Tribolium castaneum: one gene and its partners. The protein of the gene in region 1 interacts with the protein of each later gene in a biochemical or structural test. Links are inferred from orthologs where the notes say so. Each region holds a gene or a part of one and is shown in the gene's direction. Other genes may lie near its edges.

What was found.
Region 2: the proteins of csul (region 1) and icln form a complex in vitro, tested with the Homo sapiens proteins (5 studies listed by BioGRID and IntAct, with this or other methods). The link is inferred for Tribolium castaneum from reciprocal best matches to the Homo sapiens genes PRMT5 and CLNS1A.
Region 3: the proteins of csul (region 1) and RIOK1 are reported together in a solved structure, tested with the Homo sapiens proteins (2 studies listed by BioGRID, with this or other methods). The link is inferred for Tribolium castaneum from reciprocal best matches to the Homo sapiens genes PRMT5 and RIOK1.

The regions. Positions count from the first base shown.
Region 1 is NC_087394.1:22,619,784-22,624,960, reverse strand, and holds the start of csul (protein arginine N-methyltransferase 5), read left to right. Parts: upstream 1-2,042; 5' UTR 2,043-2,180; intron 2,181-2,333; 5' UTR 2,334-2,340; coding exon 2,341-2,596; intron 2,597-2,645; coding exon 2,646-3,267; intron 3,268-5,177. UniProt on the Homo sapiens protein: Arginine methyltransferase that can both catalyze the formation of omega-N monomethylarginine (MMA) and symmetrical dimethylarginine (sDMA), with a preference for the formation of MMA.
Region 2 is NC_087394.1:28,288,728-28,292,431, reverse strand, and holds icln (methylosome subunit pICln), read left to right. Parts: upstream 1-1,759; 5' UTR 1,760-1,775; coding exon 1,776-1,894; intron 1,895-1,946; coding exon 1,947-2,089; intron 2,090-2,138; coding exon 2,139-2,482; 3' UTR 2,483-2,552; downstream 2,553-3,704. Other genes in the region: uncharacterized protein LOC103312536, read left to right, coding at 476-592; transcription initiation protein SPT3 homolog, read right to left, coding at 644-1,537; Upf2 (regulator of nonsense transcripts 2), read right to left, coding at 2,729-3,294, 3,342-3,515, 3,562-3,704. UniProt on the Homo sapiens protein: Involved in both the assembly of spliceosomal snRNPs and the methylation of Sm proteins.
Region 3 is NC_087402.1:314,535-319,195, reverse strand, and holds RIOK1 (serine/threonine-protein kinase RIO1), read left to right. Parts: upstream 1-1,857; coding exon 1,858-2,985; intron 2,986-3,114; coding exon 3,115-3,492; 3' UTR 3,493-3,498; downstream 3,499-4,661. Other genes in the region: Dbp45A (probable ATP-dependent RNA helicase DDX49), read right to left, coding at 47-264, 312-667, 762-1,464, 1,508-1,574; nonsense-mediated mRNA decay factor SMG9, read right to left, coding at 3,499-3,692, 3,772-4,661. UniProt on the Homo sapiens protein: Involved in the final steps of cytoplasmic maturation of the 40S ribosomal subunit. Involved in processing of 18S-E pre-rRNA to the mature 18S rRNA. Required for the recycling of NOB1 and PNO1 from the late 40S precursor.

The DNA.
Region 1 (5,177 bases):
ATAATGAAAATTTTCCATCTAGTTGCGCCTGTCTATTAATTTTTACCAAACAAATAAATACAAGAAACGAGCACATCCGGCGGCTGTTAATATTTTCCACCTTATTTAATTCCTCCCACCTAATTGAAAATAATGCTGGGAACATCAAGAATCTCAATTTGAAAATCTCTGATATGATTTGCGGCCATAATTACCGGAAATACGAGCATCGCCTTCATCGTCGTACTTTTAGTGGGCAGGTACCACTTTTTGGGAGGGGCCTTTCGACCGGAAGCGATTTTTCCTCATGCGTGCAATACATAATTACAACAATATTTATTATCTGTCATAAACACACGCCGCGATAGTTTTGTATGTTAATACATTCCGCGTTTCATTTTCCTAATTAAGCACCAAACCAAACAAAAAATAAACCTTCCCCCTCGAATTATTTACACAAAATCAATAGAATACATATTTCGGGGTAGCGCATTTTTCGCACTGATTATAAATCCACCAATAAAAAGTGAGTATTCCTATCAATATGGCGATCGAACACTTCAGAACATAACAAGCTGGGGTGACGCTACAATACACCCTGATTCCACCCTCGCTCACCCTAGCAATGATGGCCGGTGCGCTCGGCCAGGGGTGCCGAGGGCGTATCCCTCCGACCATCCCTCCCATATCGGGGGCGGAGTCCGATGGTAAAACGATCCGAAAACGCTTTTCTGTACACCTTCGCATTTAATATGTACAGTTGGCAACACTTATCTGATGCCGTGCTGCATGAATACGTACAAATGATGGTTTAATGGAAAATATACGCTTATCTTTGAGGCTTTTGTATATGAGAAAGGCACGCTCGTTTTTCATGGATACACTTCGAGACATATTTGCTTTTGTAAAGTACGTACACCGACGGCCTGATTAAATGTCGCACGAAGCCCGCGGTTAATTAACGCGAGGTCACGTGGTAAGTCACGAGGGCCAGCACGTGATCGCAGACACGCATCGATTGGTCGATGGGAAGGCGCACCACGATCCTCGTTTGTTTTAGTTCCGGTTGGGAATTTTTTCGCGATTGGTGAAGACGTCACGGGTCACTACTCAATTTTAATAACGCCACTCGATTTAAAACACGAACAACTGAACGAAAACTTAATTTAAATTTTGATTGGAAAAAATATGTAAAAGCATTATTATTTATTGCACAATAGCGACACAGCCACTCACTTAAGAGAAATTCTTCAGTAAAGAAATATAACACGAGGCTGGGAAAACTTAAAAGACGAACCTGTATATGAAATTAAAAGTTAATGTCTACCAATATTTTTTATTAAAAGTTAAAAAAGTGAGCTATCTTAATACTTATTTGGTGTTTAATACACGTGTATATTATTATAACTTATATGGTAGCGCTCAGCTCCGTTTGCGTGTGCGTCATCTGACATTTCTGTCACTACGTTTACATAGCAGGGGCATAGCGGTGACAAACTATCAAATATTTTTTGAGGTTACGAAGTGTTTAAATTATGAGTTGTTACAAAAAATACAGATTTACAAAACAAGAACTAATAAACGCAGAATCAAAAACCTAACGAAACGCAAATCACAAAACACAATAAACGAACAGAAAATACTTGCGATTAACACCGATAACACTTTCGACAACCATGCGACGACGTCTATAATTTACTGTCAATGTCAGTTTGACAAATTCGTGACACTTGACGGTGTTGTCGAAGTGCACATGTAAATTAATGTTCAAGGATACCACCCTTAGATAGCCCTTAGCTGTTTAAATTTGCATTGTTTTTGAGAATTTTTTATAGCTTTGTGTTGGTAATGAAAAAATGAAATTGATGACGCACACGCAAATCGAGCTGACCGCCACTATAACATTATAAATAACGTTGAAATAATAAATATAAATAATAAAATAATAATAAAATATAAATAAATAACTGTGAAATTATTTTTTCACAGTATTAGCTACAAACTTCTTGTACAAAAAAATAATAATTAAAAAACGTTATAAATGAAAAAAAAAAAGAAATCCAAACCCTAAAAGTTTAAAAATATAATCCTTTATGTTGGCAGTGGTAATAATAGCATGTTGTTGGCACTGCTTCCGGATTCCTGGAACTGTCAATTTTTATTTTGACAGCGTTGTTTGAAAAATAGTGGTAATTCAAACGGTAAGCTCAATTTTCAATAACACTTGCCTCCTAAACCCCCAATATTACTCCGTTATTACATTTTTGGCGTTTTTGCCACGTTTTTTTACGAATTTTGTCGTAAAAAACGCACACTTGACATTTGACATAACCTCAATCCACAACATGTTTTAGCCCCAAAATGAGCGTGGAATCTCAATACTACCCAGACGGAGACAATGAAAAACGCAAGCGAATGTCAACCGGTCTCCAAGTGAACTGCCCCCACAGTCTTAGGCTAGCAATCCAGTCAGCTTATGAATACGGTTACCATTTTCTAGTAACTCAAATAACGCACCCCAACTACGCTCGCGACCTCCTCCACGGGAAGCCCCCGCCGGCAATCGGTCGTACAGACCGCATCTTGCAAAGTCTTGAATGGGGGCGCTATATCGTCGGTAGGTTTTAGCCCCAAACTGCAAAAATCGCTAATTTGAACAATTTAAGCTGAACTCACTCCCACCATCAACGTGGACAGCGAAATTGAACACGTGCAAAGGAAAAGCAAAGCCCTGTTCTTGCAAGAGTTAGGTTTTGCGGTTCATTTGGGGGTTCCCGTGATAAAATTTTCCCTAACTAAGCGACACAACGCACAGTTGGGGCGCCTCATCAATGAGAAACTCGTGAACGGGTTTACGTCCAGTTTTTGGGTTACGCTCCCCATGGTGCACCCGTCACAATTTAGCCCCATTTGCACCGAAGATGAGAAGGAGGATTCTTGGGAGTGGTGGAACGATTTTCGCACTTATTGTAATTACGATAAGCACGTAGGTCTAGTTTTGGAGTTGCCTGAAATTGCACATATTCCTTCACAAAGTGAGGTCAATAGGTGGATTGGGGAGCCCGTCAAAGCGCTAATTATCCCCACGACTTACTTTATTTTAAATAATCACGGAAAGCCTGTCTTACCACGCGCCCACCAGGACATAATTCAGCGCTTTCTAACCATAGACGTCCAATACATCATCAAATCGGACTCTGAGACCGACCTGTCTCTCTACACTAAATATCTACACTTCTTGGGGAAAAAGCTATACGTTGGTGACCCCAATCTTGAATTTATCCAAGGGTAAGTCGATTAAGGTTGAACTACGAGTATACTAGGAACGTCTAAAGCTCCAGCTGTTATAACAAGCGCGTGAACGCAAAATTTGAAATTGATTTTTTATGAAAAGCATTGAAACAAAATAGTTTGCCTATAATTAGGGATAATACCTAAGTTAAATCATTACATATTTGTCACTGAGTGTAAATGGGTAAAAACTCAACAGATTTATTTTTATATAAAAATGAAAGATCACATTGCATGAAAAAAATTCATAACTTTCTGAGAATCTTTGCAACAATACGGGCTGATTCGTTTAGGCCCAATTATCAAATTATCACAGCTCTTGAATCCTTTTCAGTAAGTGAATGTTTTTTTTGCATTTGTTAACCAAAGATTCGAAGGGTCTTCTAAAATCTTTAGGATTGCCAATTGTCAAATTGCAAGGCTAAAATGATCATAATTCTGTTTTTTCAATGGCAATCAAAAGGACATTGATTTTTATGGCGATTTCAACATTTCTATATCTATCAGGAATCTTAGCTCGTTATTTTAATTTTTAATCGAGTAAAATTTTGCTATTAATTAAAAGAAATGTTCAATATGTCCACCATTTTCATTTAAGAAGTTCAAAATTATATGACTGTATGTACTTAACATAACTAAGTAAAATAAACTATAATTAAATATTATTGGTTTACTCCTTACTACGTAAATGAACCAGCTAAACACTAAATAAAGTTTTGAAGTTGACAATTTTGTTTTTGTTTTTTTTTTTGTTGACTATTTTACAAAGCCTACTTGATTAAGGATGAAGAATTAAAAAATACAATCCGTTTTTTGTGATTATTTTAAAAACCGTAAGAGACAGGAATAGGACGTGTTTATAAAAGTCACCATAAGTGTCGATGTTCTTTCGAATGTCGTTAAGAAAATAGGGTAATTCTATTTGAAAAAAACTGAGTTATAGCCGTTTTTTGATAACTATTTTGAAAAAGTCATACTAGCCTTGAATGTTGACATTTGATAATTTGAAACTTCTAGAAGGTTCTTCAAACCTTGGGTTATTGAATACAAAAAAATTATTGACTTATCGCAAAGGCACTGACAAAAAGTAATATTTTAAGTAAACCTCTGCAAATGAAACTTTTTACAAAAAAAATGATATGTGGCACAAACTATGACTTATTTACCTACAACGTGGGTTGCTCAGCTTGAGTAGGCGGATTCAAAAATGGGATAAAGATGTGTGGTTAGTATTTAAAATTTCAGAGTTGGCGCGAATTTCTTATTGTTCCGGAAGTTTAGCAATTTGAAAATAATTTAGTTGATCTCTGAATGGATCGATTTGGATCGTGAACAAAATTTTAAAGCTCTAGCAATACAAAAAGTTTCTAATATGGGCATTGAAAGGATCACCCTGTAAATATAGATTTGAAAAAAAAACGAGTCATTTAAAAATTATATGAAAAAAAAATTATTTTTGGTCAATTATTTTTTCAGTTCATCGTAGAATTTCAACAGCGCATTTCAAATTTTCGGAGTTAAAAATAAAGCACAAATTGAGAGTTTCTGTAAAAGAAAAGAATTCTCTGGTAAACTAAATCCCAGCGACACGTTTTGAGCTAAGAAAATCCACCAGAAACTGTCAATTTGTGCTCCATTTCACTCCAAAAAATGCAAAATTCTACTATGAACTGAAATGGGATATACAGCGTGCTCAAAAACTGGCGCACCAACTCAATGGTGTGTGGTAGAGAATTGGTAACATATAAAGGTAAAAATAGTAAAAAAATTCTTTGTATTAAAGTTATTGATAAATAATGGATTTTATATAAATGATATGTGGCAACGTTGTCTAGCAGTCATGATCGCAATAGAATTTGAGCAACAATAAAAATAAATTATTTTTGAAACGGTTTCCTAGGATATAA
Region 2 (3,704 bases), about 5.7 Mb from region 1:
GCCCTGTAAAGTAATAATCAAAAAACGAATAGAAGACGATCAACGCTTTATTTTTAATTTTACTAAAAATAAATAATAATAATGATGTAAGCTCTAGAATATTTATGATGGGAAGTTGGGAACCTGATAATGTCTCCCTATTTAAACATTTTTTAAATTACGTACAAAAAAGTACAAATGACGATAAAACACACCAAAGTTAAGTAATTTAAATTATATGTTAAAATAAATGCCTTACACAATTTAACCATAGGCAAAAACATCTGATAAACATTAAAGAATTTTGAAGAAAGTATTAAAATTTATTTATTTTAAAAATACATAAACACATTAAAATATTGCACGGTTAGCAGTGACTTTAGCTCTAAGATTAGTTTCGAAAAAGCACAATTAATAAAAACATTAGCACAACAATCCAAATTATAAAAAATAAGTGAGAGGCTAACTTGACTGACCCCAATACCTTTGTTTTCAGAGTTTGGCGAGAGAAATTATAACATCGGTTGCTTCAATATCATCTTGCATAATCTCTATTTTTTTCGTAAAAAATTTGTCGAGAATGGATTCGCTGCACATAAATTTTGCAGCGTAATATTTGGATAAATAAAAGACCGTTTAAAAAATTAAACTTTATTAGAACAAATTACAGAGCAAATAGATAATGCGTGTCTGGTAGTTTTCCCCCGAAATTCAGCTTCCCTGCTTGCGGACAGTGAATTCTTCTCATAACTTCTTTAATTTCATTGACACTAATGGGGGGCTGTCCACTGTAAACCCTGCTATAGTCTGGATTGTTACCACTAGCCCCTATCCTATAATCCCCATTAAACATCGTAGAAGTGTAGTAATTGCCGTATAAATGATTCAGTGGATCACTCCCACATTTGCCCTCCATCCTCACAAGCAACGCATAATCGGTTATCTCAGCAACTGTCTGGTACCCCAAATACGACAAAACCACCATAGCATTAGTGCTGAAATTAATTTCCTTTTTCGGGTCAATCCACTGTCTTAATTTTTCGGAGTTTCGGGCCGTGATATCTCTACTGCAAAACGAGGTGGCTCTCGCTTTGCAAAACTCCAAATACCTCTTCTCGTCCAGGGCTTGAGATATGCGATCAGCCCTCAGCATCCTCGACTGTTTGACTTCATCAACTTCGGATAAATCGGTGAATTCTCCCGTCTCGTCTATGTACTCGATAAACTTCATTAGCTCGTTCTTCGGTATGGGATCTCTGTCAATTTCAATGACCCCCGAGTTCAACGACTGGAGTTGCTGTTTGAGTTGCTTGTTTTTCAAATATTGGAAAAAGCGGCGCATTTTGTGCTTATTGTGCCGCATTAGGAACACCAACTCCTTGCCTTTGAGGTTCTTACCATCGGAGTACTTCAGCGCTTCCTGGACGATCATGCGGAGCTGCTTCAACACGATGCTCTCCACCAAACGCACCGTCTCGGGGTTCGGCTTGTGGCTGTCGCCGAACCCAAACATCATCAGCGAGATTTCGTTACAAAAGGTTGTTTTTTGGGAATCCATCAGTTTTTGTCAACAAACACCTAACCTCAATTGACAACAAATATTTTCCCCACAGAATAACAGGTTTTTTTCCCCAATCAAACACAGCCGGTTCAAAATACCAGCCCGTGATTGGTCCTTAGCTCACAACGCCGCCAAAAGAAAATAAAAATCCCCAAGTTAAACGTCAAGCGCCATAGTTTGTGGTTACAATAATTTTGAAAAATAAACACGTTTTGCGAAAAAAAGTGGAGGAAGAATGGTTGTGGTCACGTCGTTTAAACCACCAGAATCTCCTATAAGACTCGAGCAGTCAAACGTTGTGGTGATTTTGGATAAACGTGATCTGGGCACCGGAACCCTATTTGTGAGCGAAAGGTAACACAATTATGGCAAAACCAAACGAAAAATACATTGTGTTAAATTACAGGACACTCAGTTGGCAAAAAGACGGGACTACGGGTTTTTCAATTGAATATTACAACGTCTCGCTCCATGCGGTGTCCAAAGACCCCAACGTGTGCGAGAGGGAGTGTATTTATATTTTGACTGACCCCCACATAAATTTGTTTGGTTTGTAATTTTTTGCGCAAAATTTGGTTTATTGTGCGTCGTTTTGTAGGAGAAACTGACCAAAGGCCCGCAAATGATGACAGTGACGTTGAGTCAGAGCCAGACCTCTCGGAGCTGATTTTAGCCCCCGAAAACCCCACACATGTACAAAGTATTTACGAGGCTATAAAAATTTGCCAAGAACTCAATCCCGATCCTGCCGATGTTGACGACGAGGACGATGATAATTTATTCGCGGACGCAGAAGAAGAAATGTTTATAGAAGCAGAGTCTGAGCAGATTGGGGACGCAGTTGTCGACAGTTTGGCCGAAAGGCTACAAAACAACTCAGTCGACGTCCAGTACAGCTACCGGAATGGCAACGAGGATGAGGATTTTGAAGATGCAGACTGATCCCTGAATTATGTTAGGTTTTGTATCTTTAATTTTAATCCATTTTTTATAAAACACTGACTAGTGAAAAGGTTTTATTCCAACAGAAAACAATGTTGAACGAAACAAAAAATGAAATTCCTTGCTTCTCCTTCACAATTCTCAATTCCGATAGACTAAAAACGAAACAATCTATCTATTTCTGAAACATTCTGAACTTCTTTGACCCTTAATCGTATTCAACCATTTCATCCTGAATTCCTCCCATTATCTAACTCTCTTAGGTCCAAAAATCAGGTCGGCGTCGGGCGCCCCCTTGGGGTGCTGGTATTTCTTGCGTTCGCGGTTCAAGTTTTGGGTCACGGGCCTGTTCTGCTGCTGCATCATGTCTTGATAATCCTCCTCTTCAAACCGTTCCGTGATGTTCAGCGTCAAGCGCTTCACTCGTTCCTTCTCCTCCTTCTGAGCCAACTCCTGGTCCCTCAGATTCTGAGCGAGTTCGGAGTTGATATCAGCCTCGAAATTTTTATATTGCTGCTTGTTTCCTTTGCGGACCATTAGCACGAACCCGATTTTGTTGGGTTCCGTTTCAGGGGCGTCCTGCAACTGCTCGTAGGTCTTTTTGTTCGATTTGAGGACAACCGGAACGGAAATGTCCACGTTTCCGGCCTTCACCGGCTCGCGCATCCGCTCTTGGATGTTCTCCGAAACCATTTTATCCAAAGCGTTTAAAAAGTCCTCGTCCTCGGGGCACTCGACCTTGCGGGGGCCACTGGGAATTGCCAGCGATTCGGACACTTGTTCTTGCTCAGCTTCGCTAACATCGGGTTCCCCTAAAAAATAATTAAAAAAATTGGAAGATTTTAAAAGTGAGACGGACCTTCATCGTCCGAGCCTTGTGTGTGGTCCACCGTTTCGTCCTCAGTGGCGGTATCATCAGTAATAGGTGCCGTGACTTCGGACACTTCGTCCTGTTCTTCAGTGTCGGTTTCAGCGATCGTTTCCAGGCCGTCTTCCTCAACTTTATTTTCGTTCAAATCTCCAGTGATTTTATCTAATTGACTTAGTTTTATTTCGGGATTTTTTAAAACAAAGCTTACCAAAGCCCAAAGTGACGCGAATATTATTTAACTCGGTTTGTGTTTCTTCGTAGCTTTGACACAATTTAATTTTTGGTCTCAGGGTCGTGAGAGTGTCTTTAAAAATGTGCTCCAGTGTTGGAGGAAATGCATCTTTCCACAAG
Region 3 (4,661 bases), on another chromosome or scaffold:
ATTTAGAAAATTTATTTGTGCTCAATTTACAAAAATATTTAAAATTTCAATTGTCATTCTTTTGTTTCTTCTTTTTCGCCTTCTTGCTTTTTTTGATTGTCTTTAAAAATTTTTCTTCTTCCTCGTCTGGATCAAGCCCTTCCATCATCCACTTTTTCCTCTTATTTATCATTTTCTTTTCGTAAAAATCTTGTTCGTCGAGTTTAATATAAGCCTCGCTTTTGGTTACCGAAATTTGCGTGAAAATTTTACCAACTTCGCTATCTATAATTCAAAATAAACTAAAAAACCTCACTAAAATAAACAATTACCGTCCAATTTAAATTCAGTTAATTTCGTATTAATGTGTTGTTCGATCGCTTGTAACAATTTGATGTCGTAAGGGGTGACCAAACTTATCGCTTTGCCGTTTCTCCCAGCCCTGGCAGTTCTACCAACCCTATGTATGTATTCCTTCGGTATTTTAGGAATATTGTGATTAATTACTAATTGAACGGTGGGAATATCAAGACCTCTACTTGCAACATCAGTGGCTAGAAGAATTTTAATTGTGTTTGATTTAAATTTAGCCAAAGCTGCTAATCTCTGTTGTTGTTTCATCATGGCATGAAGGGCCACATTTTCAAAACCGACCTCATTTAAAGTCATTGACAACACTTGACAATTCCTACAATAAATCCTACTTAGTCTACGACTACGAAATCAAGTTGGCAAAAATAGTATTGCCAACTTAATTTCAAACTCTAGACCAATTATTTTACTTGCAAGTGTTAGTGAAAATAAGGATATTTCCGTCATTTGTAGCACGATACGTCCTAATTGTCTCAACCAAATAAGCGTCTTTCACATCTTTGGGGCACAATACATAGTTTTGTTCCAATTGTTCAACAGTTGCTACTTCAGCCGGGGCTTCATAGAAAAAAACATCTTTCCCTGTCACATCTTTCAGTTTTTCTAAAGTATCGGTGATCGTGGCTGAGAAAAATAAATTTTGGCGCTCCTTAGGCAATGCTTGAAAAATCGTTTTGATTTGTTCGTCAAAGTGCCCCCCTAACAAACGATCGGCCTCATCAAGCACCAAAAACCTCAATTTATTAAAATTAAACGTGTTGCAACTTTCTAAATGGTCAGCTAAGCGGCCAGGCGTTGCCACCACAATGTGGGGTTTTCGGGCTAAGTCTTTGCCCTGAACCACCATATCCATACCCCCCACAATGACACAATGGCGCAAATTCATCACTTTGCCAATGACTGCAAACTGATCAGCGATTTGAAACGCCAGTTCTCGTGTGGGGGTTAAAATAAGAGCGAAAATACCGTAAGGATCCTCGCATAATTTCTGGAGAATGGGCAAGGCAAATGCTAGGGTTTTGCCACTGCCGGTTTTAGCAGCCCCGATACAGTCCCTACCGGCGAGAATTGGGGGAATACAGTTGGTCTGGATGGGTGTAGGGCTGCGCACACCTGTACCCCAAAATTAATTTACGAAGCAAAAGGGGGCTCATACCTATAGTGGCGCACTGGCGAATGATCCAAGGGTTCAACTGGAGCTTGTCGAACGATTTCTCGGTCATTATTACGCGAAAAACACAAACTTAATATTCAGAGGGGTTAGGTTCCCCGACATTGCGACCGATTGTGTACACGACCGAATCGTTTTTTACGATTTTTGGGCAAAGTGTTAGGTTTTTACTAGAGTTTTGGATATTTTTTTGCAAATTTTTGACCAACTGCTGGGATAAATTGGGTCAAGTTGTGCAATAACACGGAAATTAGTTCGGGCTGAAGGCCACTCGAGTTCACACGTGTGACAATTCAATATAACCTCAGAGTTTTTGCACGTTTATTTGTGTAATTATGACCACACCGGACGATTTTTTGAGTGAAGACGAGCTTTTTCGGGACGCTGAAGACGATATTCTGGCCCCCGTAACCGAGAATTTGACCCTTGATGAAGATAGTTACGAAAGTGAAGATGACGATTTTTACTCAATTTCGGGCAAAAACCAGAGGAACCCCCAAGTGTCGTCAAAAAAAGTCAGTTCGTACCAACCCCCCGACAGTTTATTCAAAAAATACACCAACAAAATCAACGTTGAGGCGTATGACCGGGCTTTGCCCCCTCATGCCACAAATTTGCTCATAGCCAATGAAAAACGGCAAGAAAATGAGAAAATACGGCACAAGGACAAACACGACCGTGCCACCGCTGAACAAGTCATGGATCCACGAACCCGAATGATTTTATTTAAATTATTAAACCGGAACGTAATTTCCGAAATAAACGGTTGTATTTCAACGGGAAAAGAGGCAAATGTTTATCACGCAACGAGTGATAAGGGCCAGGTTGCGATTAAAATTTACAAGACCTCGATTCTCGTTTTCAAAGATCGCGATAAATACGTTAGTGGCGAGTTTAGATTCAGACACGGTTATTGTCGACATAATCCGCGAAAAATGGTACGAACGTGGGCCGAAAAAGAAATGAGGAATTTAATTCGCATGCATTCGAACGGTTTGAATGTCCCTGAACCCATTTTGCTGCGTTCGCATGTCTTACTAATGGGGTTTATTGGTCGAGAGGGTTGGCCTGCTCCGAAATTAAAAGACGTGGATTTAAGTCAGTCAAAAGCGCGTGAAATCTACAGAGACGTGGTTATAATCATGTGGAAAATGTACAATAAGTGTAAATTAGTACATGCCGACTTGTCCGAGTTCAACATGCTTTATTTGAATGGCGAAATTTTCGTTATCGATGTGTCACAATCTGTAGAACATGACCATCCTCACGCGTTGGAGTTTTTGCGGAAGGATTGTACAAATATCACAGATTTTTTCAAAAAGAAGGAAGTTGCGACTATGGGTATCAAGGATTTGTTTCATTTTATCACTGATCCGACGATAAATGAGGGGAATATGGAGGAGTGTCTTGAGGCGTTGGCTGAGAAAGCGGCTCAACACACCGAAGTCACGTCAGAGGAACAGGTAAAATTATTTTCTCAATTACAAGTACAAAAAATTCCATAAAACTTTGCCAGAGTGAGTTTAGAAAAAAAAAATGCTGTCGTATTTTTTTGTTAGTAGTAACGAAATTTTTTTGGTGTTCCATTACAGGTGGAGGAAGAGGTGTTTAAGCAGGCTTACATCCCTAAACGCCTGACTGAAGTGATTGATTTCGAGCGAGACATAACTCGAGTTAAATCGGGTTTAGCTGACGATTTAGTTTACAAAACTTTGGTCGGTTTAAAGGCCGATTTGAGTGGAACTGTGCAACATCCCGAGATTTTGGATGAAAAAGAATCATCTGAAGAAAATTCAGAAAGTGAAGAAGACACTGGTAGTAATTTTGTTGACTCTTCAAGACCCAAACATGAAACACTCGATGAGAAAAAAGCGCGGAAAAAAGCAGTCAAAGAGGCACAAGCTGCCAAAAGGACAACAAAAATCAAAAAACATGTCAAAAAACGGAAAGAGAAGGTTTCAAAGAAATAAATTATTTCATGGCATTAGTTTAGTGTATTCGATAAAAAACGAACTCTTTTTTACATTTTCCCATACTTTTGAACAGTACACAAGCCACGTTTTTTCAGTCAGTTGAACGTGAGTTAAGGGCGTTTTAATCGCGCCTAAAATATTGGCCCTTAATTTTTTTACAAGGTCTTCCAAAGGCGGGTGTCCATTGTAGATGTTATCTGCAATAAATCGAGTATTTAAGATGCGCTCACTCGATTTGGCAAACATTTTGCTCGTTAAACAAAAAAAAATAATTACCATATTTGGGATTGTATTCCGGGATGAGAAACACGTTGAAAAGTTCGCCGGAATTATCGTCAGCCAGCCCCAAATTTGAGTCCTTCTGAAGCTTGGTTTTTTCAAACAATAAATTGTAAATTTCTTGAATGGTTTTGAATTTCCTGGGCGAGAAATCGTCCATTTGTGCTTTGTTGTGTATCATTAGCAAGTGCGGGAAATGGTCATTTAGCTCATCCTCAGGGTTTGAATGTGTAGGTTTTAACATTTCGGCAGTTTGTAAAAACCGGACAACATTACTATCGAAAAAATAATCCTGTACTACTATTAAAACGTGACAAATGCTCATCAAAAACGCGGTTAGTTGTAACCCCTGAATTTCTCCACTGTTTTCCAAAGGAATAAACTCACTAACGATATTCGAACGCTTATTTTCACTCTGAACCAATTCGTCTAACACAGCAACAGACATAAAGGGTTGACAGTCTAATAAAATCACACGATTCGAAGTGATAAACGCGTCAATGCCTCTCGTGGCATTACTGTTGCTTTCCACATCTTCCCCCGTCTGTATTTTAAAAATTTCCCTCTTAACTTTCTCTTCATCAAGCTTAATTTCGGTGAAATTTTCACTCAAAAAATCCTCGTTCCGTGCTTCGCAATTGCGAAAAATCGCCTCTTTCAAGTCTTCGCTCACTGTATTGTGGGCAATAAGATTCAAAACCGTTGATTTTCCCACCCCTTGGGCCCCCACAACCCCCACGACCAGAAAATCGCTATTTTCCTGCACAAACTCTTGAAGGTGTTCTAATAAGACTGAATCTTCCAAAAACTTGACACTCTTGCTCATCGACTTAACCGTGGGGGCTGATTGTGTCTCTGAGCCAGTCGAGGAAATCGTGATTGGAAGT